Linked DNA regions of Arabidopsis thaliana. The protein of the gene in region 3 binds, or shares a complex with, the protein of the main gene of each other region. Each region holds a gene or a part of one and is shown on either strand. Other genes may lie near its edges.

Evidence for each region.
Region 1: CIPK23 (region 3) and CBL9 share a complex: the UniProt entries of both Arabidopsis thaliana proteins name them as parts of the K(+)-channel calcium-sensing kinase/phosphatase complex.
Region 2: CIPK23 (region 3) and KT1 share a complex: the UniProt entries of both Arabidopsis thaliana proteins name them as parts of the K(+)-channel calcium-sensing kinase/phosphatase complex.
Region 4: CIPK23 (region 3) and CBL2 share a complex: the UniProt entries of both Arabidopsis thaliana proteins name them as parts of the K(+)-channel calcium-sensing kinase/phosphatase complex.

Annotation. Positions count from the first base shown.
Region 1 is NC_003076.8:19,129,139-19,134,129, forward strand, and holds CBL9 (calcineurin B-like protein 9), read right to left. Parts: upstream 3,167-4,991; 5' UTR 2,970-3,166; intron 2,739-2,969; 5' UTR 2,590-2,738; coding exon 2,511-2,589; intron 2,128-2,510; coding exon 2,045-2,127; intron 1,722-2,044; coding exon 1,662-1,721; intron 1,567-1,661; coding exon 1,458-1,566; intron 1,365-1,457; coding exon 1,312-1,364; intron 1,191-1,311; coding exon 1,110-1,190; coding exon of another isoform or gene 1,053-1,109; exon of another isoform or gene 1,022-1,052; coding exon 909-1,021; intron 822-908; coding exon 758-821; 3' UTR 502-757; downstream 1-501. UniProt on the Arabidopsis thaliana protein: Acts as a calcium sensor involved in abscisic acid (ABA) signaling and stress-induced ABA biosynthesis pathways. Contributes to the regulation of early stress-related CBF/DREB transcription factors.
Region 2 is NC_003071.7:11,331,322-11,338,444, forward strand, and holds KT1 (K+ transporter 1), read right to left. Parts: upstream 5,418-7,123; 5' UTR 5,124-5,417; coding exon 4,951-5,123; intron 4,098-4,950; exon of another isoform or gene 3,886-4,097; coding exon 3,529-3,885; intron 3,460-3,528; coding exon 3,402-3,459; intron 3,294-3,401; coding exon 2,976-3,293; intron 2,895-2,975; coding exon 2,649-2,894; intron 2,560-2,648; coding exon 2,461-2,559; intron 2,379-2,460; coding exon 2,346-2,378; intron 2,223-2,345; coding exon 2,037-2,222; intron 1,935-2,036; coding exon 1,740-1,934; intron 1,646-1,739; coding exon 1,570-1,645; intron 1,477-1,569; coding exon 644-1,476; 3' UTR 529-643; downstream 1-528. Other genes in the region: KCS11 (3-ketoacyl-CoA synthase 11), read left to right, coding at 1-302. UniProt on the Arabidopsis thaliana protein: Highly selective inward-rectifying potassium channel that mediate potassium uptake by plant roots in response to low K(+) conditions, by a calcium-, CBL-, and CIPK-dependent pathway. Positively regulated by phosphorylation by CIPK23.
Region 3 is NC_003070.9:10,652,931-10,659,435, reverse strand, and holds CIPK23 (CBL-interacting protein kinase 23), read right to left. Parts: upstream 4,637-6,505; 5' UTR 4,167-4,636; coding exon 3,942-4,166; intron 3,851-3,941; coding exon 3,788-3,850; exon of another isoform or gene 3,649-3,787; intron 3,491-3,648; coding exon 3,419-3,490; intron 3,333-3,418; coding exon 3,225-3,332; intron 3,117-3,224; coding exon 3,036-3,116; intron 2,897-3,035; coding exon 2,843-2,896; intron 2,746-2,842; coding exon 2,620-2,745; intron 2,444-2,619; coding exon 2,354-2,443; intron 2,235-2,353; coding exon 2,115-2,234; intron 2,036-2,114; coding exon 1,910-2,035; intron 1,696-1,909; coding exon 1,579-1,695; intron 1,483-1,578; coding exon 1,426-1,482; intron 1,346-1,425; coding exon 1,271-1,345; intron 1,153-1,270; coding exon 1,071-1,152; coding exon of another isoform or gene 1,054-1,070; exon of another isoform or gene 965-1,053; coding exon 912-964; 3' UTR 536-911; downstream 1-535. UniProt on the Arabidopsis thaliana protein: CIPK serine-threonine protein kinases interact with CBL proteins. Binding of a CBL protein to the regulatory NAF domain of CIPK protein leads to activation of the kinase in a calcium-dependent manner.
Region 4 is NC_003076.8:22,669,447-22,674,614, forward strand, and holds CBL2 (calcineurin B-like protein 2), read left to right. Parts: upstream 1-1,666; 5' UTR 1,667-2,099; intron 2,100-2,568; 5' UTR 2,569-2,625; intron 2,626-2,706; 5' UTR 2,707-2,742; coding exon 2,743-2,866; intron 2,867-3,002; coding exon 3,003-3,085; intron 3,086-3,183; coding exon 3,184-3,243; intron 3,244-3,339; coding exon 3,340-3,448; intron 3,449-3,523; coding exon 3,524-3,576; intron 3,577-3,670; coding exon 3,671-3,751; intron 3,752-3,828; coding exon 3,829-3,941; intron 3,942-4,075; coding exon 4,076-4,133; 3' UTR 4,134-4,184; exon of another isoform or gene 4,185-4,409; intron 4,410-4,467; 3' UTR 4,468-4,654; downstream 4,655-5,168. Other genes in the region: AT5G55980 (serine-rich protein-like protein), read left to right, coding at 855-1,196. UniProt on the Arabidopsis thaliana protein: Acts as a calcium sensor. CBL proteins interact with CIPK serine-threonine protein kinases. Binding of a CBL protein to the regulatory NAF domain of a CIPK protein lead to the activation of the kinase in a calcium-dependent manner.

The DNA.
Region 1 (4,991 bases), on a different chromosome or scaffold from region 3:
GACAACGTCCCACTATCACGCTCATCTAGATTGTGCCAGGGGAAGTGTCATCTTCCGTGAGAAATTTCTTTTTGGTATCAACTCTTGAGTTTCATACAAATGATTCTTGTCTGAACTCTTGAGTTTCAACTAAATGATCCTCAAACTTGGCTTTTGTAGTCAAAGAACATGGAGGATATGTAAAAGCGTCGCCGTACAGGGGGATTAGAGAGAATCACTCCACAGCATGGAATGTCTGAATCCGCTTGAGTTCTTTAGCTACTGGGATCATCATTGGTCTGTCTTCATCTCAAAGCCGGCACCACACACGTCAATTCGGATTTATCGGTTACAATAAATTCAGGTCTGGTTTGATTATAATTTTAGTTTCATTTTGGTATTTTTGAAGTTTTCAATTCCCTTAATAATAATAAATTGATTTATATGGCTAATTTCTTCTGTCTAAGCATATTTGACTTTGATTTCTCGTTACATAAAACATAAAGTGTTGGAATAATTTATGAGCAAAATCAAATCTTTAATCAGAAATTGTGGTTTTATATTAATCTTTTCGTAGAACTACAACTTGAGTATTCAAAACTGTTAAAGAAAGAGAGCCAAAAGTAATCGCAATACATGAAATTGAAATCCAATAGACTAAAAATTCCAAAGGAAATAGAGCTCGATCCTGCTATATAACATTGTTGGAATCAATCTTCTTTTTATTCTTGGTCCAGCCTACGACTTGGTCTCTATAAACCAGCTTGTCTTGTCTCTTTCACGTCGCAATCTCGTCCACCTCCGAGTTAAATACGAAACTCGGAAATGTCGTCGTTATATCCCTAAAATTGAGTTTTTAAGTCCTCAAACTTGGAAAATGGCACCAAAACTGGCCAAATAGATGGAAGTATCATAGTAAGGAGACATACCTGAGATACGGAAGAGTCATGATTTTAAGCAAAGATGGGTTTTTGATAACGAAATTGCTCCATTCTGTCTTATCAATCTTTCCATCCCGATCCACATCTGCGTCCTCAAATGTCTGTTCACGAAAAGAAAAAAAAACTCGAGTTTCATAAAACAGTCTTTCTTTTGACAGAAAACAAACTTGTAATAGACAACAAGTAAACCTGATCAAGTATCATCTCTATTGTATCATCAGCCAGTTTCATTTCAGATTCGCAGAGAAGTGCAATCAACATCTGCTTCACCTGCCAAAAACGCATACACAATTATGATTACTTATAGATGATGCAGAATCCATAATACTGAAAGTCTTTGAAACATAGATTGTTTGGGAATGGAATGTGAAGATATAGGACCATTGTTTACCTCTTGGCGCTCAATGAAGCCTGTGCAGTCCATGTCGTAAAGCCTAAAGGTAACTGATATATGAAATACAGAATAACATGAATAAAAGTACAGCAAGGCTTTAGAGAAACGACGATGGATATAAACTCGTTTATGGGTCAACTTACAGTCTGTTTTCTCCTCTAGGGAAGCATTAGGATGGAAAACATTGAGTGATCTCACAAAGTCTCCAAAATCAATTACGCCTTTTCGTTTAACATCAAATAAATCAAATATCTGGAAAAAAGAGCATTACCATTAACTACTTATAATAGAACTAATCGTTACGACTAACTACAAAGTTACTAAGGCCAAAGAAACTTAGAATTTACCCTATTGGCAAACAAATTTTCTTTCTTTCTGTTCTTGAACAAAGCAAGTTGAAACTCTTCCTGCATAACAAGTTGGTCGAGAAAATAAGTAACAATATCCAAGAGTGGGCCAAGAAAACATCAATTTTTATAAGCAAACCAATATAAAAAATGGAATTAAAATTCAAGTCAACTATCATCAACACAGAGACTTGGTGAGCAATAAGGAGCCCACAGCTCAGCATGGAGATTCAATAATAAATTTGTGAAAGTCAAGAAAGTTGACAAATAATACGGAATATGGATAATGGTGCAATGAATATTATTATGTCACTGTACATCACGCATTCAAGATTCTCCCATGAGGTGCGAAATAATCAAAGGGCTATGAGATTTATCATTACCTTGTTTATCAAGCCATCGTCAACAACCGAGCTGCTTATGCTCTTGAACAATTCATACAATGCTTCAACTTCACTAACACTAACTAGAAAAACAAACAAATAATTAGCCACACTGCGAGATTTCTCATCAACATCATGTATATCACCAAAACAAAAATCGAAAGTGATGGTTCTTGAAAACTTTCTCTGATTAAGATTCCATTTGAAAGTAGAAGTAAACTACACTAATGATCCAAGAAACTATTGAAATAGGTTTATGTGATGACTTAAGTAACAACAAGCATCATTTAACAAAGTTGTAGATCAAATAGATTATGAATGAAAGAACCATTTTTCGGATTCAATAAATGGCGAAAACAGATTCTCATATCAGTTAACAATTGATAAAAGAGAGATCTTTATGCTCATGCTCTTTGAGAATAAAGCAAAGAAGAGAAAACGAAACGTATAGTGCAAGTAAACTTACAAGCAGTCTCAGAAGCAAGCTTCACAGGGTTTTCGTGATCGGGAAATTCTCTGGCAGCCGTGGAATGGAAACAACCCATTTACGGATGACAAGAGTAAAACGAAGAAGAAGAAGCTTGTTCCGGAGGTTGATAAAATCGCCAAACTCTACTACAATTTCTGAGATTGTGAAAAAGCTTGATTTCTGATATTACTCACTCCCCATCATCATCATAAGCATCTTTAAAAACTACAATGATTCAATCAAAAACAAAACCCAACAAAAATTGAATTAAAAGACGAACACGATAATTGAATAAGTATAAACCCTAGAAAAAATAAGCAGCAGCTATGTGGCAATCGAATTCAGATTAACAAAATTTTGAATATTAAATCGGAAATTAAACAGGTAATGTAGGAGCGGCTCGAGAATCTCCGAACCCAGAAACTGAATGGTGAAATCGAAAAATTGAGCACTTACCACCGAGAGAACGGGCTCGCCGGCTCGGTGAGAGAGAGAGAGGAAGGGATTTTGATTTTTGAGAAACGAGAGAGAGACGAAGAAGAAGATCTCTGACCACGATGGTAGATGAATTGATCGGACGGCTGAGATTAACTTCAGACTTTGCTGGGCTTTTTTTGTTCGTCAGAGGCCTCCGATTGGGGAAATTATGAGAGAGTTTGTTTATAACATGATCGTCGCACGTGTGAGGGTCTGAACGCGTGTGAAACACATCCTTGTCATTTTTACCTCTTTTTTTCTACCAACCCCATTTTTATTTTATTTTTATTACAGTGTGGGAAGAAAACAAAGCCATTATTGTTGTTTGACATTTTAGTTTCGAAATTTCAACTTTCAACTTTCCTTTTTTATTGGTTAAGAAAGTTAATCATTTTTACAAGTTTTCTTACAATTCTGCAATGATTTTGTTTTGTTTTTGTTTTTTTATTAAAAGAAAAATATTTAGACTCGAATTTTGTTTTTATGTAAGTTTATAACTGTAAGAAAAAAAAAGTGTAGAGAGGTAACTAGTACTTGTAGAGTCAAGATTTAACATACTCAAAAGATACTAAGAATGATATTTATTTGTATAAGATATAATTTTCAAATTGGATCTTTCATTTTCATAATCCATACAGATGTCAAGATCTCATAGTCTTCAAGATCTTGCAATAAATAAATATTAATATGATAACCCAACTAGCAAGGGGACTAATTACTGTATTTATCTATATATTCAAGATTCATGTAGAGTGTGTTTGATAATAATTTCAATATGGGTCATATACCTTTTGGGATAAACGAAGAATTATAATAATTCTGGTCACATTTTAGTAGTCTAATCAATCACGTAGGACAAACAAAAATCCAATAGTATAAAGGCGGTCTAAATAAGAATTATGGATTAACATAATTACTTTTATATAAACCATAAGACATGATCTAATCATGTATATTATCAAATTTTGAAACTAATTAAGTACGTACGCCATCCAACAATCCAATAATGTAAACTATATAATGTTCGCCTAAAAAAAAGAAATGGATTAGCATATCCATAAGACATGGCCAAATCATGCATGTTACGTATATTAAATTTGAAACTGGGATCCTGGCTCTAGTAAGAGTGGTTTATAATTTTATATTGGGTTTAGAATTCCAAATTAAATGGTCAAATTCTTTCATTCCAATACAAGCAGAAACTTTTATGATAGTAAAAAGATTATGAGAAGACTTATGAGGTGTTAAGAAAGTGGGAGATGTATTATGAGGAGGAGAGATTATGAGTATAGTAAAAAGATTATGAGAAAAAAGATTATGACAATAGTAAACAAGAAGGTCCATACAGTATCCATGTTTTTCAAGAAAGTGGGAGATGCCAAAGTCCTGGACCTAATATTTTTGTTTTAAGTTTTGATAACTAACTAATTTTTTTTAAATCAGACACAAAAATAAACATAGACTGTTGATATTTTAGAAAATTAAGATCTATTAAAAAAATATTGTATTTTCTTATAGATAAACAAAAAAAACTTTTTTTTTACTAAAAGACTAATATCAAACTGTCCTAAGGTCCCTACTAATTTTGGGCCGGTGGTCCTGACAAGTGACAACAGTTTAATGGTCCATTTTGTACTTAAAATTGAGTCAAATTAGTTGCGGCAATAAGAGCAGAGCAGTAATGTGTTACACCCTTAAAGGACGTTAGTACTGAAGCCCAAATTCTTTGGAGGTTGGTTGGTTGGTTGATGAAGTGCGGTTTTGATTAATTCACAAATATGACTTACTTGATGACTTTTCACAAACATCCATCTGGAAACGCTACTATTTGATGATGTATTAACAGTAGAAAGCATATTAAAAAAAATAAAATCTCTTATTGATTAAATTATCAAGCGTCAAAACGAAATAGGTCTGCTTTACAAGTCAAAGACCTTCGATACATTATCTTTGAGACTACTTCATAGAGATTTTTAAAGCAGAAAGATTACAAAATCTGAA
Region 2 (7,123 bases), on a different chromosome or scaffold from region 3:
TTGATGAATTGGAGAAGAACTTGAAACTCACAGAGTGGCATATGGAGCCCTCGAGGATGACACTCTACCGTTTTGGTAACACGTCCAGTTCTTCTTTGTGGTATGAATTAGCATATAGTGAGGCCAAAGGAAGGATCAAGAAAGGTGATAGAATTTGGCAGATAGCTTTTGGTTCGGGGTTCAAGTGCAACAGCTCGGTTTGGAGAGCGGTAAGGTCGGTAAACCCTAAGAAAGAGAAGAACCCATGGATGGATGAAATTCATGAGTTCCCAGTTGAAGTCCCCAAGGTCTCCACAATCTAGAAACCACTTAGTGGCAAATTTTCAGAAGAGGTTTTTGAGTTTTCAGCTTTTGATATTTTGTGTCTTCCCAGTGAATTTACCTTTTTCTTGATTTGATAATCAGATACACCAAACTGGTTAACAATATTTTTCTTCTTTTTTGCGGAAAAACTTGTTGTAGTCAGTAGCAGACCGTCAATGGTCGGTCCAGCTTGTGTTTTTGGTTGTTGTGTCTGCATATATATTTCCTTTAAGCATTCTTTGTCTCTTTCATTTTTTGACAAAGTTGTTAAAAACAAGAGTTATCAACTTGTCATTAATAACAATAGGTGATAGAATGTGGCAGAGAGTTTCTATGGTTGTTAAGAATCAGTTGCAAAGATGAGATGATCTCCATCTCTTATAACATCTACATCATCAATCTCTGCATTGTTGTCTTTGTTCATAACTTTGGTAGCAACAATACCAAACTTGTTGGAACCCAATTCTAGCAACTCCTTGAAACTCCCAGGAAGCAGTACCAGCTTCCCGGCTATGTCATCTTTCTCTGCACAACTAATCGTCACTCTCACCGGGTTTCCAGTTCTGCCTTCATCTACCGTAGCTAGCCCGTTCTTGGGTACGCTTTGATTTGCTAATATACCAAACAACGAGTTATCGAAGTTGTTAGTTTTACGTCTTGCTCTTGTTTCTCGAATCCTGAAAGACACTTCTCTTGATGCAGGACGGATGTTGGGTTCACTAGTGAATCTTCCGAGGAACCGGATCCCGGTTTTGAGTATAGGTACCGAAGAACTTGTCTCGATATGCACTCTCCTCTCATGTAACTTTTCTCGGAATAAGGCTTTAATATCCTCATGCCCTTGTTGCTCAGCAAGATCCCTCGGCGTCCAACCATGCATATCCTGCTTGTTAACATCCGCACCTTGCTCCAGAAGATACTTTACCATCTCAATGTTCTCTTCGCATACAGCGGTATGGAGCGCAGAGGTGCCTGTGGCTCTAGGACGAGTAACGTCTCCACCATGAAGAACAATTTCTTTTAGTAGTTTCAAGTTTCCTTGCTCAGCCGCCGTGCAAGCAAAATGACCCACATCCCCTGCGTCTATGGTACTGCCATGTTCTAACAGTACCTTTACAACTTTCTCATGCCCTTCCACCATTGCTTCCCACAGTGGTACACTCCCTTCCGCGTCTGCGTTTACATTTCGAAGAAACCAAGAAGCTCAATACTTCAGAAGAAATCCTGAAATCAAAAGGGAAGTACCAGAACTGAACAAGCAAGTACCTCTGCAATTGGGGTCTGCGTGGTACTCCAACAGAAGAAGAACACAATTTAGAGTTCCTTTTGATGCTGCTATATGCTGTTTCCAGAAAAAAAAAAGAGATCATAAGTTATAGTCTCCAAGAGCTTGGATGAGAAGAAAATAACAGAACAAGAATGTGAACTTGACTGACCAGAGGTGTTCTGCCATTGTTATCCGATTCATTTGGATCAAGTCCTCTCTTTAGTAACTGATGTAAAAGTAAATCGTCTTCTCTTATTGCAGCAAAGCATAAATTGAGAGGAAGATCCATTTTACCCCGTGCAAGCATGTTTTCTATCTCCAGCAGAACATTCGTCATCACCGGATCATTCATTTCTTTCAAATGCTGCTCTCCACAAAGAAAGAGAGTGAGAACAAGTAAGTAATAGTTCATAGATACTTTTCTGTTTTCAATATTTGAAAACCTCAGAAGGATCTGTTTATTCACCTGAAGTAGATTATTCATGATTATGGTACCATCACCAACATTGGCCTGAATAATATTCAAGAAAGTTGTACGGTTCATACGCAACAGTTGGCACAAACGTTTGGTCCTCACAGTAAACAGTTGTGGTCTGTAGCATAACACCCCTATCTCCCCTATAATGTCTCCAGCTTTAACCTCTCTCACAATCTGAAATTCTCCATAAACTTCTCTTTGTGAATGCTTAGTTACATCATAACTCCAAGATCACAGGTATGGAGACAAAAGGGATAAACATAAAATAAGAAACATCCATCAAGTGACGCGACTTACGCTTTCTGTTCCAGTATCTACATCCACCAAGTCCTGCATCATAACGGATATGTAAGAGAAGTAAGTTTTATGTCAACTCAACAAATCTGTAGAGAACTTTGTAATGTTTTATTACCGCGGTTCCGTTCACAAGGATGTAGAAGTCTGTTGGCGCTTCGTTCTGCAAGATAACATCTTCTTTTGGTGGGAAATACTCAGCTTTCATTTCTGAGACCTGTAAAATGTACAAAGTAGTGGTAGCTTCATTTGTGTGTTGAAAATGGGATATGAATGATGTTTTCACATGCATTGTCATTAGTATACCAGTTGAAAAAGCAGGTCATTGGATACTCCTCGAAACAGGTAGACTTTATCCATGAGGGAGTAGAAAAGAAAGTGTGATATACTCGATCTAATGGCCTTTGGGAGTGCATCAAGAGTTTCTTGCTGTTGCAGACCCTCAGAGTCAGTCCGGTATTTCAAACATAAATGTGCAAGCATTTGATCTTGCAGACGAGGTGGTAAATGGTTTCTATGAGCAAAATTTGAAGCAGCTTGGATTGTATCTCTCTGCAAAATGAGAACAAAATATTATAAACCGCGATGGATATGCTTCAAAGATTGAAGATGGATATGAAGATGCTAACTTACAAAATTTCTAGTCCGACTTGTTCCATGGACTACCAAATTTGTCATGTTACCAATCAAGTAAGCGGTTAATCCGAGGTTGAAGAGCATATAGAAGATATCAAATATCATCTCCTTTGTGTTCACAGGATGCAGATCACCATAACCAACAGTGGTTAGAGTAGTGATGGACCAATACATGGAAGTCACATATCTCATCCACAAGCTTTCCTCTAGGAAGTTTGCTACATTTGCACCAATCCAGGTCTTTGCGGGGTTAGAATTGCGCGCTGCGATAAGGTAATAGAAACATGCAGCACAATGAACCGCAAAAAGAGTGACCTGCAAAAATGCTCTGGTTGGTTAGTATCTACACTATTACTACATCGAGAGTGTAGTAGTTTGAATAAAGATAACATTATAAGAAGCAAAACATTTTGATGTTCTTACACAAACGAGTTTTGCGCATCGGACCCAAAAGTAGTTGAAGTTGCGGTCTTTCTCTAGTCTGTTAAACAGAGAATGTCAAGATTAAAGAAAATAATGAAAGAAAGAAGAAAAGTTTAGTGATTCTAACCTGGCAAACAAGGCACCGACTCTGCGAAGACGCCAAAGACGAAGCATGTTAAACAATCCATAAGACTGAGATGAGATTCTCATAGCAGCCTCTGAGGGAATGGTTGAAACAAGATCAAGAAGGAACCAAGAACGCAAGTACTTAAATGCAATCTGTTTACGGTCATCAACAATGAGGTAAGTCGATTTATCGAGGTAACCAACAAAGAATGTCATGATGATATCGATGGCGAAGAATGCGTTCACAATGTTATCGGTGATAGATAGTGGTGGCCTTGGCTTTCTCAAGAACCCAAACTCGAAAGGCGAAACCCAAGCTGTGTAAACCACAAGAACCACTAGGAAAGCCTCCCATATCCTGTAGTCAACATTTCCATTTCAGTCATATTCAATAATCTAGTACATTTTCTACATGTAGTTGAACATATCTCTTAAGTTACTGCATGAATATATCCAAGTAAGTCTCATATTTAATTTATCAGTACTTTGTGTTTCAATAGTATGTTACTATTTGATGACGCTATTGAGGATACAACAACCAAGTACAGTTTTTTCTACTTTTGGTTATAGTAATATATCAGATTTGATATCAGTCGTTGAAATCAAGTAATGAGTGCCTTGAATGTTCCACATTCTCTTTTTCAATTACTATAAATTATCCCCAAAAAGCAAAAGCCAAAAGCAAAGGCGGCTTTTAAGCTAATTAGCCAACGAGAGTAATAATGGGAGCCTTGAATATTCTACAATAGCCTTCACATTTATAGATCTTCTTTTTTGAATATTAGGGAACTAGGATTTGAATATTCCAAATGTTGAGTAAAAAGGGAGCTTTAGTCGTCAAGTAGTTAAAATTTTCAAATTAACCTAAGAAAATATTATTATTAAAAATCAATTGTTGTTGAGGTAAAAAAACGTGGAAACCAACATTTTTGTGTTGTTTGACCAACTAGCATTTTTTATTTGCACGTAATTTTTTTATTTTATGAAGAAATTAAAACATTTTTCAAATAAAATAGTCCAATAAGATAAAATAACATGTTATTTGTTTAAAACCAACATGAAACTCTTACTATTTTGAGGGTAAACTTGTAACCTAACCAAATAGTTATTCACCTAACTCATAGAAAATAAGGTTAGTTAATCTAGTGCATATACTTAATAGTATTTACCCACAATAAATTACAAAAGTTGATCACCAACCATTAAAAAGAATACAATTTTTTTTTATATTCAGTATTCATTTAATAAAATACAAATTTGTTAACTATGATCCTAAAGTAAAGTTAATTTCTTGTTTCCGATCCTCATAAATGAAAGAATCAGAAGTTATATAGTTGAAATATATATCAAGTTAAAATGGTAATCGTCTTCTTAGCTTGACATGGAAGAGAAACAAGAAAAACAAAAAACAAAAGAGTGAAACCTGTATTTGTGATCATAAGGAGATACAACGAATCTCCTAAGCTTAACTCGTCGATTACTTCTTGCACCAAGTGAAGGTAAAATTCCAGTAGAAAGACTAAAATGACTACTCTCTCTCGAAAGCTGTTCAATCTCATCTTGGACTTGTCCGCATAACAAAGCCCCTCCTCTCATCACCGACGTTTTTTTTTCTTGGCTTCCTCTTTGATGGTTCCTTTTTTTTGTTCTTTTGGTTTCGGCAAAAGAGGCAAAATAAGCAGCTTAACTCTTGGCTTTATTGGTTTCACATTTTTTTTTCACTCGTTGTTGATGAGTGAGACCTTTTTTTTTTCTTTATAACAAAAAAAAACTCTTGGCTAGTTGGCTTTATTACGGGTGTGTGTGTCATTTCTGACTTTGGATCCCTTCACTTTCAAGGAATTAAGTTTTCTCTCGGCAACACAGTGGTTGGCCCCACTTTCACGTCTTAACCCTTACTGTAGCATTAATGGTGGCTTCTCCATTTCAAGATAAAATAAAATATCATTCTTGCTCATAAATAATTGTATTAACAGAAGAAGAAAAATTAGACCGAAGAGGAAGAGTTGACCAAAAATTTATACATCAGAGCATGATCTCAAGTTTTTCAATCATTATACTTACTATTTTATTGTTTGTTTGACTTCTAACTAAAGGAAAAAAAAAACACATATAGATGTAGGACACGACTTAAAACTTGTTTTAAAATATTTTAGGTGATCGATCATATAACATTCTTGGGCTCATTTGTGGTATGGAGATTTGAAGTGAGATATTGATTGCAACTTATGGTATGATTGGTTGCATACTTGCATAAAGAGCAATAAATGTTAAACTGTCATACTTTTATTTTAACGAGTAAAGGAAAAGCAAATCGTAAAAAAATAGTTTTTCTTTGTTTGGGCATAAAAGAAAAATATTTTGGTTCATCATCCCTAGATCGTAAGCCCTTTTGTTCACCTTTTCCTCGTCTATCTTACTCACTTCTTGTCCATCATCGTATATATAGGGAATTTAAGATAAGCTAGACATTTAGCCTTTAGGATATGATAACTACCATTGTTTGGGGAGGAAGCTACTTAGGATTTAAGTAGATAATGTAAAATGATGAGGGATAATAATGAACTTTGGATAACTATCCATTTTCTTGAAAGAGAAGTAATGTGATGGATAATCATCACATTTATAACAGTTACCTCATTAAAGTGGTCTTATTACTACAAATATTTGTTGCTATTTTTTCCTTCAAGTTCTGGATTTCTCAAATTTCATATAGTTAAAGTTTTAATTTACAAGATGTCTACTGCTATAGATAAATCATAAAGGTTTGATTGCTATGTCGCTAGGGGAGGAAGATGACCTTTTAAATATATTTGATCTACTTCAATATTGCTCTAGTGAAAAGAGTGTTGTGAGTTTGATAGGAAGAATTCGTAAATCGGATTGCCAAATGATGGAGCTAATCCTAGATAAGCCAAGGAACTGGCAAAAGTATGAAATCATCATAGAGATGGCTATTTCCTATAGAGAATGTTAGATGCGTAACAACCAATTTTCTTTTACTTTTAGAATTTTCTTTATTTACTAATATTTCAGTTAGAGGTTAGCACACTTCTTGTTCCATCCCATAACTGTTCGGGTGTTTCCAAATTCCTATCTTATATAGGAATGTATTCTCAATATGGGACAAGTTGGTATTTCCAAATAGAAACTGGAGGGGTTCCCTAAGTCCTGATTGTGACAAATACAACTAGTATATATATATATATATATATATATATATATATAATATTCTAAAAACTTAATTGATTTAATTTATGTTTAGTTGTTCTAAAATGGATTATGTTTCTTTGTTTTTTCAAGTTTTAACTTTTCACTATATAACACACTTTATCATTTTTTCTTGTTTGGAAAATATTTATGCTAGATAAATTGAAAACATGTTAATTATAGAGCAAGAGTTTATATTTTATTTTATTGTAACAGGTTCTAAGACCTTTTTTTATAGAAAACATTAAATTAAGATAATTATTAATTACATGACTCGCGCTCTGACCAGTTGGACCAAATATATATGAAACACAAATTTAGTTTAATAGTATTTTAGAGTATTTCTCTCTTTTTTTTTATGAGCTGGTATTTCTCTAATTTACAAG
Region 3 (6,505 bases):
CCATGAAGAAAAACTTTGCCTCCGCCACTAACCACGAGGACCAAACTCTTTCTCCACATCCACAACAGCCTTAGCTGTTTCTAAACCAACAGGACCAACCTCCTCCTCCACATCTACAACATCCACAACAGCCTTAGCTTCATCCAAACTGTGAGGAACAAACTCCTCATCCACATCCACATTAGTTGTTTCCAAATTATGAAGACCAACCTCCTCCTCCTCCACACTCTTAGCTACAGCCTTACCTGTTTCTTAGCAATAAACAAGAGAGTAATACAGAAGAATAACAAAACCCCTAATTGAAGAATTGGTGTTCTTGTTCACATCTTCTTCGCCCTCAATTATTAATACAGAGTAACTTGGCCACCAAGTTTTCCATCTCTAAATTTTTGTTATAGTATTTGGTCCGACATAATCTTTATTGATATTTTTCTTTCCTTGATTTTGGTTTTAAAATCTCACTAACTTCAAGTCATGCTATATATTCAGTTTGTTTTGTCTACACTGATATTGGTTTTCAGTCCGCTTTCCTTTTTCAGGTTTTAAAATTATGAAAATAAATTTCGATTTGGTTCACACACAAGTGTTAGTTTGTTTTCAGTACATTTGAACTGAAATATCTATCGAATCTCAGCGTCCGACAATATAGAAATTGCAAAACCAAATCTGTAAAGCTTTTACTTTCCGGTTAATCGATTCAAGCCAAGAACCTCGCAACACGCATATGCTATTCACAACATTCCATGGAATCAAACATGATTAAAATATCAATAATCCCCATTCCCCAATATAGTTTCAAACTGCTTCTGCTCCACTTCTTGACGCTTCCTTTTGTATTAACTTCAAAACCACTCCGTACTACTATAGTAATTTATAACGAACAAAATCTATATTAGAAAAAAGTAAACAGCTTATGTCGACTGTTTTGCAATTGTCCGGTTAGCCATGGCACCATTAGTACCACCTGAAACATGAAGAAACAAAACAGGATTTGTGTTTACATGTTTCGTTAGTTTCTCCTTTTCTAGGAGCTTTATCTAAAAAACAGAGTATTCAAGGCAGATACTTACCACCATCGGTTCCTTCCTCTTTCTCTTCGTCGATGGTTTTCCAAACAATGTCCTTAAGTCCCGTGGTAAGGTTCTTGTAAAACTAAAAGAAGAGCAAGAAAGGATGCAAAAAGGTAAAGATTCAAACATCAGTTACTGGAAGACCATTTGACAAGCTCGGGTTTGATACAACCTGATCAGCATTAATAACCCTTGCATACCTTGTGGAATTCCAATGTGTCACCCCCTGATTTTCGCATTTCAACCATGTAAAGAGATGGAGCAACTTGAAAAACCTGAAGGTAGATGTCAATTAACTTAAATTAGGTTCAGCCAACCATACAAAGGGTGATCACTGGTCATTGTGAAAGCTAACCTCAGTGGCAACTGCCAACTGACCCTTGCGGCCTGATTTCTCTCCTGTCAGCTTCATCTGAAGGAGTTGAGAAATGGTTAAAGGGTCTATTCAGAAGCAACAAACCAATACACAACTCCACAGCATTGGGTAAATACGTAACAGTATTCTAACCTTGTAGTTATTTGTCTTGACATCAAACCCCATAGGTGCTGCCGCAGCCTCAATTTTTGTAACTATCTCATTAGCCGAAGATTTGGAAGTAAATCGAGTTTTTCGTTTCACCAGCCCCTGAAATCAGAGAAGCTTATCAATCAGAATGACGACTTCTATCAAACTAAGTACGGGCTTCCAAAGAAAAGTATTGGTCACTAAAATTTTGTGGCAAAGCTACTTCTTATTAGGTTTGACCAAAACCGCAAAAAGATAGTTAAAAATTGTCAACAAAATAAGAGCCTTGGGGGACGAAATTTAAAGACCAGCTTTACGTATCAGACTTCTGTACCATTTGTTTTTCGAAAAGTGAACCGAGATTGAGACCCTGGGATGTCGAGATGAGCTCAAAAGCATTCATCGTTACTGGTGTTTTGAGTCCTTCTTCTCGCCTCTCCACAACAAGATTCTTAGACTCCTATTAACAAACAAAAACAACTGAGCAATCATCCCGGACAAAGTACCGAAAAAAACAAACAAAAGAACACTAGCCTTACCCCTGAGTCATCAAAGATTGCATCAACATCATCAAGGCTGACATCAGCATTCTCAAATTTAGGTGCTTTATACCCTTTTTTAAACCACTCATTTTCAATGACCTCAGCAAATGTAATCCTCTGCCCAATATAAAAAATCAGTGTAAGCCTTCAGATCTACTCAATCCTATAGAAGCTTTTGCCTCTTCAAAGGAGAGATCCTCTAATATAAATTATATAATAGGGTAAGAAAAATATACCGTTGCTGGATTGGGATCCAGAATTCTTTTGATTAACTTCTTAGCACTTGCAGAGAACCAGGGAGGGCAAGTAAATTCTGCTTTGAATATCTGTAATTATGAAGAAAGAAAATCAGGTGGCTTTTATGCTATATACGTCTCATACAAAAATGACAGAGGCTTTTATACAGCCACCCAAATGCACCTAGACCTTGAAGCCTTTCTGATAGCATGTAAAATGATATGTATCAAAAGAAAAGCAAAAGAAGAAGAGGCAAGCGTAATACCTTTTTATATAACGACGTCAGGTTAGAATCTTCAAAAGGTAAATAACCAGCCATTAAAACAAAGAGAATTACTCCACAAGACCACAAATCAGCCTTCGCTCCATCATAACCTTTGTTGTTGATTACCTAGGGAGAAAATATAGAAGGTTACTGAGACTAGAAAATAATAGAATTCAAGTTTTGAGAAAATTGTGTGTCAGTTTTCAGTAGCAGTTGCTAATACCTCCGGAGCAACATAATTGGGTGTTCCACAGGTTGTGTGAAGTAACCCATCCTCCTAAAGAAAAAGGGTCACAAAATCAGCTTTTGAATAAATCATGGAAATCTTTCTCCTTAGAAGCCATAGTAGCTGAATTATCGAACTATGATATTTACAATGAAATGATAGAAAAAGAAATCAATATCTCGATGCTCACTCGAACTTGCTGAGGTAGAGCGCTCAATCCAAAGTCAGACACTTTCAAAGCACCATTAGCATCCAAAAGCAAATTTTCTGGCTGCAACCAGAATGTGCAACATGATTCAAACACATCAAACTTTTATTCTGATGCCAATTGATTCACAAGAAACCCTATGCAAGAGGATCACAAAGTAAGATTCCTAACCTTAAGGTCTCTATGATAAACTCCCCTGCTATGACAATAATCAACCGCATTAATCAGCTGTTGGAAATACTTCCTCGCCTCATCTTCCTTCAATCTCCCATTGCTTGACTAATACATGACAATTCTAAAGAATTAAGATCTCATTTCCACATAGTATTAAGAAAAAAAAAACACATCTTTCAATGAAATCTTACAATTTTATCGAAAAGCTCCCCACCAGTGACGAATTCCAAAACGAAGTAGATCTTAGTTTTGCTAGCCATCACCTGAAGAAGAAGAAGAAGAAGAAGAAGAAGAAGAAGAAGAAGAAGAAGAAGAAGAAGAAGAAGAAGAAGAAGAAGAAGAAGAAGAAGAAGAAGAGAATCTGTAACTACAAAGATACCAAAAAAATACATAGAATAATCAAATCCCTTATATTACATACATATGATTAGCCAGGGACCACAAATATGTTCCATAACTTCAAACGAATCTCAGCTTATAGCACAAATCTATAGAACAACAACAACAACCAAAACGTGCAACACAACTTTGAATTCAGCTTTATAGTATCAGAATCAAACCTCAAACATACGAATGACATTCGGGTGCTTGATCAATTTCATCGTCGAAATCTCACGCTTGATCTACAAAATCCAAAATCAAAGGTTATATCACAACTGCGTAAATCAGATTCCCAATAAGAACACAGCAGCTGGAGAATTGTATAATACATACCTGAGCGATCATCTTATTTTTCAGAACTTTCTCTTTATCAATAACCTTAATAGCGACATTATCACCATTCTCAACATTTCTAGCGAATTTGACCTTAGCGAAAGTTCCTTCACCCAAAGTTCGTCCAAGCTCATACTTACCAACTCGTGTCCTACCACCAGAAGAACTACCAGAAGGCGTTGATCGTGAAGGAGTCGATCGTGAAGGCGTTGTTCGAGAAGCCATCTCTCTCTCTATATATATATCTCGGTCTCTTATATATATATAGATAGATCTCTATTGAATCAGGAGGAGGACCTCTTCTTCTTGCATGGCTGCCATACTTGGGATTTCGCAACGCTCATCGTGAGAGATCTGCAGAAGAATTAAAACCCTAAGGGACCGGAGACCATATAAACAGCCGAAAATCAAAATTCAACTCTCGTGTGCGGAGAAAATTCAATTTGGACGAAGAAGAAGACTCATGAAGACGAGATTTGTATTTGAAGTGAAATTTTGTCAGTAGGGAAAATTCTGGGAATCGTAAATTTCGGCTGCTTTAGAAAAATCGAAGCCGGTTCTGGGAAAAAGCGAGTAACAGCAAGCGAGAGAGAGAGAGATTGTGATTCGATGGTGGAAGGAATTTAAAAGTTAAATTAAGAAGTAAATTAGTTAAGGAAATGTTTAATTAAAATTCTGTTTAGGGATTATACGAGGAAGGTTGTATCTGTAGGTTCTGACGTATACTATAGTTTACATTTTAAATTATTCTAGGCTTATCTTAGTCTTTGATAATTTAAATGCAAACGTTATGGACTTATGGTGATTACAGAAAATTATGTCATCCTTTTTTATCAAATATAAATAAAAGTAAATATTTTACTTTTTTACATGCCGTGTAATTAGCTGTCATAATTTTTTAAAACAAAATTTCGAAAAAGAAAATAAAAAATATGATATTTTCTCCAACCGAATAATCAACGATTTCAAAAGAGTTAAAGAACGACAGTAAAGAATTTATAAATTTTTCTTTATCTTTAATTTCTCGTAAAAATAAAAACAGATAAATTAGTACAAAAAAATTCTTACCTAACTTAAATAATATTCTCGAAATTGCTCAATTAAATTCTAATTAATATTAATTATTAAAATATATATATATATATATATATATATATATATGCAAACTTTTAATAAAAATATTGAACTAAGTCCACCACTTATCCAATTAGCTGCCATCACTTATCCAAGTATCTTTTTATACTCCGAGATTCCAAACATGTGTACTTATAAGATTTATAAAACGTAAGAGGATCTTTTATTTACTCTAATAAATACTATTGATTAGATTTGAAACGTCCAATTGAACTTTTGATGTTATGGAAAAGCCGTTACCAGTATCAAGGAGCTACGTGCCCTTTTCAATACTAAATGTTTCACAAAAGGGGCACTTAATGATACAAACCATTAAACATTAAATTTTCGATGGTTCGATCAAATGTTTAGAATCTTCTGTCTAGATTATATATGTGTTTGTGTTTCTATAAGAAATAATGCTCTATTATAAATACAGTATACAGTTATCAACCTAACTAGTTATACTTGTTTTTTCAACCCAAAATAGTTTAAACCTAGTTTCTGATTTTTATGGTGCTCATCAAAGAGAATGTTATCTAATAATCATCGTATTAGCATAAAACAATAGAACCAAATCATTGGTGGGCAAATGTACATACACATGACCTTGCCACGTTTTCTTGAAAGGGTTTGACTTTACAATTGATAGCCCATGAGGCCATGACCATCATGATGCATATTTTTAAAAATAAAAGTTATCTGATTCATATATATTCATACTCGTTTAGTCGTTGAATGTAAATTCTCAAATCTTTTCATCATAATTTTCTTCAGTTGATGATCATTGCAGATGCTTTAGATTGAAAATTATATTTAATCTCTTAAAAACCCTAATGTGTAAATAATGACTTTCTTATCAAGAAAGTATATTCCCGGTCAGTCATTATAATATTTGACCTCGGAAATAAAAATAAACCGACCCACGAGTTCGTGTTTGTGATCAGAAAACTAAATTAACGGAAGTTAACAGAAACAATCATGTTCGAGTGTCTGTTGGAGGCAACCAAGACATTATTATTTGCTTAATTAAAATGATTTTACAAAGCGTACAATATCTCTTTCTAACCTAATAATACCAAAACTAAACCCTTTAACAAAAAGAACATAACACCAAAATTCAATTCTAATAAGAATCAAACAATAATAATCTTTTTAATCGGTCGAGTTAACTGTACTTGAGACATATAGTCACAATTATTTTAAATCTATGTTTGATTATTTTATACGTAAATATATTTAAAAGTTCATCATTAGTAATTAAATTTTGAACTTTAACGGTAAAAGAAAAAAAAAATAACGTAAAATAACGTTGTATTATCTGTATATTTGTCATATATGACTACATTTATTTCAGACATAGTATAAACTTGGTTGATGTTTCTCTTGTGATTAAAACATATATTTCAGTGAGAACATATACTCGCCAGGTTTCTCGGATGATAACTAAT
Region 4 (5,168 bases), on a different chromosome or scaffold from region 3:
ACCAGTAATCGTTATGTACATTGTGAGTAGATGATGCAAATCACAATGGCAACAACTTTATAGAATCTTAATATAGTGTTTATACTACATATTTTGTTTTTTCTCTCGTCTCATTTACATATCTTGATGTATATATTTTTTTATATGTTCAATTTTTTTTTTTGCAATTTAAAACTGAAAACCCAAACATTACTTCATTAACTATCAATTAGGATGTCGGTTTTCTTAAAAGAAATATTTTTATAGCATTAACTATATCTCATAAGTATAAAAGTTTTGGACATGGCATCTAAATAGTTGGAGTCTTTGAGATGGTTTTGACTTCAGCTATATAAGTAAGTCTTAGGGTGTTTAATTTAGAGTTTGAATTTTAAGCCTTTGAGTCTGTCAAAACCTAAAATAGGCACAAACCAAACAAAAACAATCAGATGTTTTTTTTTGGTTACAGAATCTTTAAATTAGACTGTTCTAGATTCTCAATTGGCACTAACACAACTAAGTATGTTCCTAATTGGTTGAAAAGTCATAATATTTGTCCTTGCACAAAATGTGTAAACCATAAAAAGAAGAATAAAACCTCCAAGTCAAATATTTTCTACTAATTTACAATAACTCTTTTCTAGAATACTAACCACCAATAACTTAAAAAAGCAGTTTGTCAACAACATCCAACGACTATTTTTAGCTGCCTTCTCTCACAAGTCACTATTATAAATGACCTTTTGGATTCATTAGCAAGAAACAACACAAATCATTCTTTACCTTCATAACAAAAGTCACTATAGAAATTACCTTTTGATTCATTAGCAAGAAACAACAACACAAATTCATTCTTATTTACGTTCGTCAAAACCATGACGAAAGAAAACCCTTCAACCCTAAATCTCGGACAACCTAAGGCACAAGAAAAGTATTCCACAAGTTTAGCCAAGATCAACCCTAAACCCTCCGGTAGCTCTACCGTTGAATCGAAGAGCCAAGACAATAACTCACCTAGTTTAAAACGTTGGAGATCGTCCTCCGGTAAATCTACGAGGCTAAATTGTTTATGTTCTCCGACGACACACGCCGGTTCTTTCAGGTGCAGGTATCACCGCGTTGATTCGTTGACACGTGCCGGGTCTATTGGGTCGAACCTCGCTGTTTTATTGTCGTCCAAGTCGAGCCGGTTTAGTGACTCCCTCAAGGCTCAGTAAACCCGGTTACTGGATTTGTTCGGTATAATAACTGTCGGTTTTGTTATTTGTTTGTTTCTTCTACTTCTTCTTTTGACATTGTTCAATAATTTTTATCGAAAAAGACATTGGTCTGTATTACTAAACCGCTTGAAATCGGCTTAACCCGATTCAAGGTAAACTTTTATCTAATTTTCACCAATTTGATTCAAATTTAAGCATTTATTACATACACATTTTATATGCTTCAAAAATACTTGAAATGAATTTTTCTGTCTACATTTTATATAAAGAAAATATAAAATAATTTTACGAAGTCAGAAATAATACGCAATATAATATATTTTTGCAAATTTATATATATTGTAAACGTTTTGATGATCACATTATTTTTAAAATTTCTGAAGATATAATTGAACTTATCATTTCGGGAGGTTCGATTTTATATGTTACTTGTCAAAAATTTAAAATTTGACAATAGAAAAAAATGGCTATATCACATATTATCTTTGATTTTGTATGATTATTTTGCATTTAACATCGTAAAAAATGTACTAATTTGAAGATTTTTTGAAAACTTAAATTCTCCAATAGCACAATAGATCATATATTCTATGGGTGAATGTGAAATTCAAATTTATGTCCGGTTCAATTCAGCTCGAGTTTTACTTAACCGGAACGAAAATCAAATCGAACCGTATTTTGAAGAATAAAACGACGACGATTTGAGCAGATTTTTCAGGATTTAATTTGTAATAATGCAAAAAGATTGAGTTTTTGTTGTTTGTTGAGATATTTAAAAAGATTCTTCAGGTTTTAATTTGTTTTCCAACTCTCTCCTCTGCTTTACAACAAATCGTCTCCGTCTTCCTCGCTCAGCTTCAACAACCAGAGCCGACTTGAGATTGAGAATCAACGTAATCGGTAAATTTTCGTATACGCAAATCCATTCTACTCATTTTGAGTTCACTTACATATCAAGATTCTTCTATCTCTGTTGAATCTGCGATTCACGAATCCATTAGGACGATTTTTGGGGATCTAGATCGGGTTTTGTTTCTCAGAACCTGTAATTGATTGTGTAATCCTTGAGTTCATTAATGTATAAATTCAAATTTCCCAATTTGGGTTTGTTTCTGATGGATTTTATTAATTTTGTGTGTCCATAAATTGTGATGTTTAAGATTAAAATTTGGTTAATGAGCTTTGATTAAGTCTTTAGATTCTCCATTAATTTTCTTATCTTCTTCAATATTGTATATATTATGTGGACATAACTGAATCATCTGAATAGTAAAATCATGATAATGACTTCAGTTTCTAAGCAATGTTTGTGTTGCCTATATTGACTGACTTATTTAGATTACTCTGAATTTTGCAACTTGTGTTACAGATACTCTCGCAAAGTCTCATCCTTTCTCAGCAAAAAACACTAGGAAATGGTTGAAAGGTACAGTGTTCTTCATATGCTTGCTTCTGTAGAGCTGTTTTTTGAAATTAGCAAAACAAGTTCACAATGTTTTATATGCAGGCATGGAGAGTTTTGATTTGCTGCTTAAGATATATCATGTCGCAGTGCGTTGACGGTATCAAGCATTTATGCACCTCTGTTTTAGGGTGTTTTGATCTTGATTTGTATAAACAATCTGGTGGCCTTGGAGATCCTGAATTGCTTGCAAGAGACACTGTTTGTATGCCCTATCACCTTCTCTACTCTTTTTTTTTTTTTTTTTTTCCGGTTATAAGATTCGATGCAATACCATTTGAGGAATGCAAAAATATTTCTTCTGAAGACTATTGATGATTGAATTTGGTTTTGGAATGCAGTTAGTGTGAGTGAAATAGAAGCTCTTTATGAGCTTTTTAAGAAAATCAGCAGTGCCGTGATTGATGATGGGCTAATAAACAAGGTATAACTCTAACTTGTTTGATCTTCTTCCTCATTTGGTAAAGCTTTAGTGATTGATCTAACAATCTGTCTAATTTACTCATCTCTTGTTTGTATCAGGAAGAGTTTCAGTTGGCTTTGTTTAAGACAAATAAAAAAGAGAGTTTGTTTGCAGATCGGGTAATGTTTCTTTCTTCACATTATAAGTGTTCTTAAACCCATTTTTGTCAAGATCAAGTTTAGAAGAAATGCTGAAATATGTGATTTTGTTTCTAGGTTTTCGATTTGTTTGATACAAAGCACAATGGAATACTGGGGTTTGAGGAATTTGCTCGTGCTCTCTCCGTCTTTCACCCAAATGCGCCTATAGATGACAAAATTCACTGTACGTCCCTTTTAGCTTGTATCTCAAAAACAAGATTGGGATAACACATTAATGATATATACTATTTTTTTGCAGTTTCATTTCAGCTATATGATCTTAAACAGCAAGGGTTTATCGAACGGCAAGAGGTAAAGCTTCCATATCTTCAAATAGCTTCATATATAACCTTGTAGAAGTGCGCTTTATTATCCTCACTGACATTTTCGTCCATCATTTGTCCAGGTGAAACAAATGGTTGTCGCTACGCTTGCTGAATCTGGAATGAATTTGAAGGATACTGTCATTGAGGATATAATCGACAAGGTAAGTTACTTACTTTTTTTCCTCTTCACCCTATATTTTTTCTTTGAAAGTAATTTCCCGAGTTTTGAATGTTTCAGACGTTTGAGGAAGCAGACACAAAACACGATGGAAAGATCGATAAGGAAGAGTGGAGAAGCCTTGTTCTTAGACATCCCAGCCTTCTGAAGAACATGACTCTTCAATATCTCAAGTGAGTTCCAAATCTTTCTATTTATATAACCAGGATTGAATCTATTCAACCAAATTCCTTCTCTGGTTTCTCTTTCTTCTATTCTCCATGATATGTAATAAAGGTCGTGATCCTGTTGTGTGCTTGCTCTGCAGGGATATCACGACTACGTTTCCAAGCTTTGTGTTCCATTCTCAGGTTGAAGATACCTGAAAAAGCAAAAGCAAAAGCAAGCAGCGGCAAGACATCATTGTATTGTTGAAGGTTGTTCTTTCGTTATGGTTCTTTATTTGTTACATTTCTAAATCTCTGAACTCATTTTATTTTTTATTGAGCTTTTTTTGTGAAGCAAAATTCTTCTTTTTAGTTTGGTTTTTGTCCTTTTTGATTTCGCTCGGTCTATCTGTAGATACAACTTTTGCATCTTGATGTTATGGTAATGTAAAGTTTTTCAGTTTATTTATTAATCCAATTAAAAAGATTTGCTTCAATCTCTGTGTTTTGGTTATTAGAGTTAGCTTTTAATATTAATTCAATGGATTTCTAGATTGCAAGCAAAACTAGTCATTTCATATGTGACTTGTAAGCAAAACTAGTCAAAACTGAGTGATGTCACCAGCCCTCCTAATGACGAGTTTTCCGAGATCAGCTCCACAAGAATCAACTTACATGATGACAAAAAGTGGATCTTCGATGAGACGCCATTAGAGAGAAGAGGAGATGATCTTACCAACAAGGGTATACGAAAGCAGAGCTTCGGGGGATGGTTGAGAAGCAGAGACATGAATAATGTTCTTCCAAAAAGAAGAAGAGGTGAGAAAAGGGAAAAAAAACCTAATTGAAGAATTAGCGATTTTCCCTCACCAAGAACCCTACATTAATACAAAAGGAAGTGACTTGCCAATCAAGTTTCCCATCCATTGTAGATGAGGGGAACATTGTGTTTGTAGTAAGGCAATGGAAGAATGACTCATTTATGCTTCAATGACTTCCATGTTCTTTCTTGAGGAGAAGGAAGACCATTCTTCTTGTTTTGCTACACAAGACTGAAATAAGAAACCTCTTCTAAAAGTTCTTCACGCTCCATGTAGACTATCTCTTTCTCCAAGGAGCGCTTTTCATTTAGAAAAAGCAACTTTTACTCTTCATCTTATCTTCGGCCATACTAGACGCAAACTCAACTTCAAGATCAAACAGTGCTTCTAAAGCCAACTCAACTCAATAGCCATACTTCATGCCGTCTCTTCA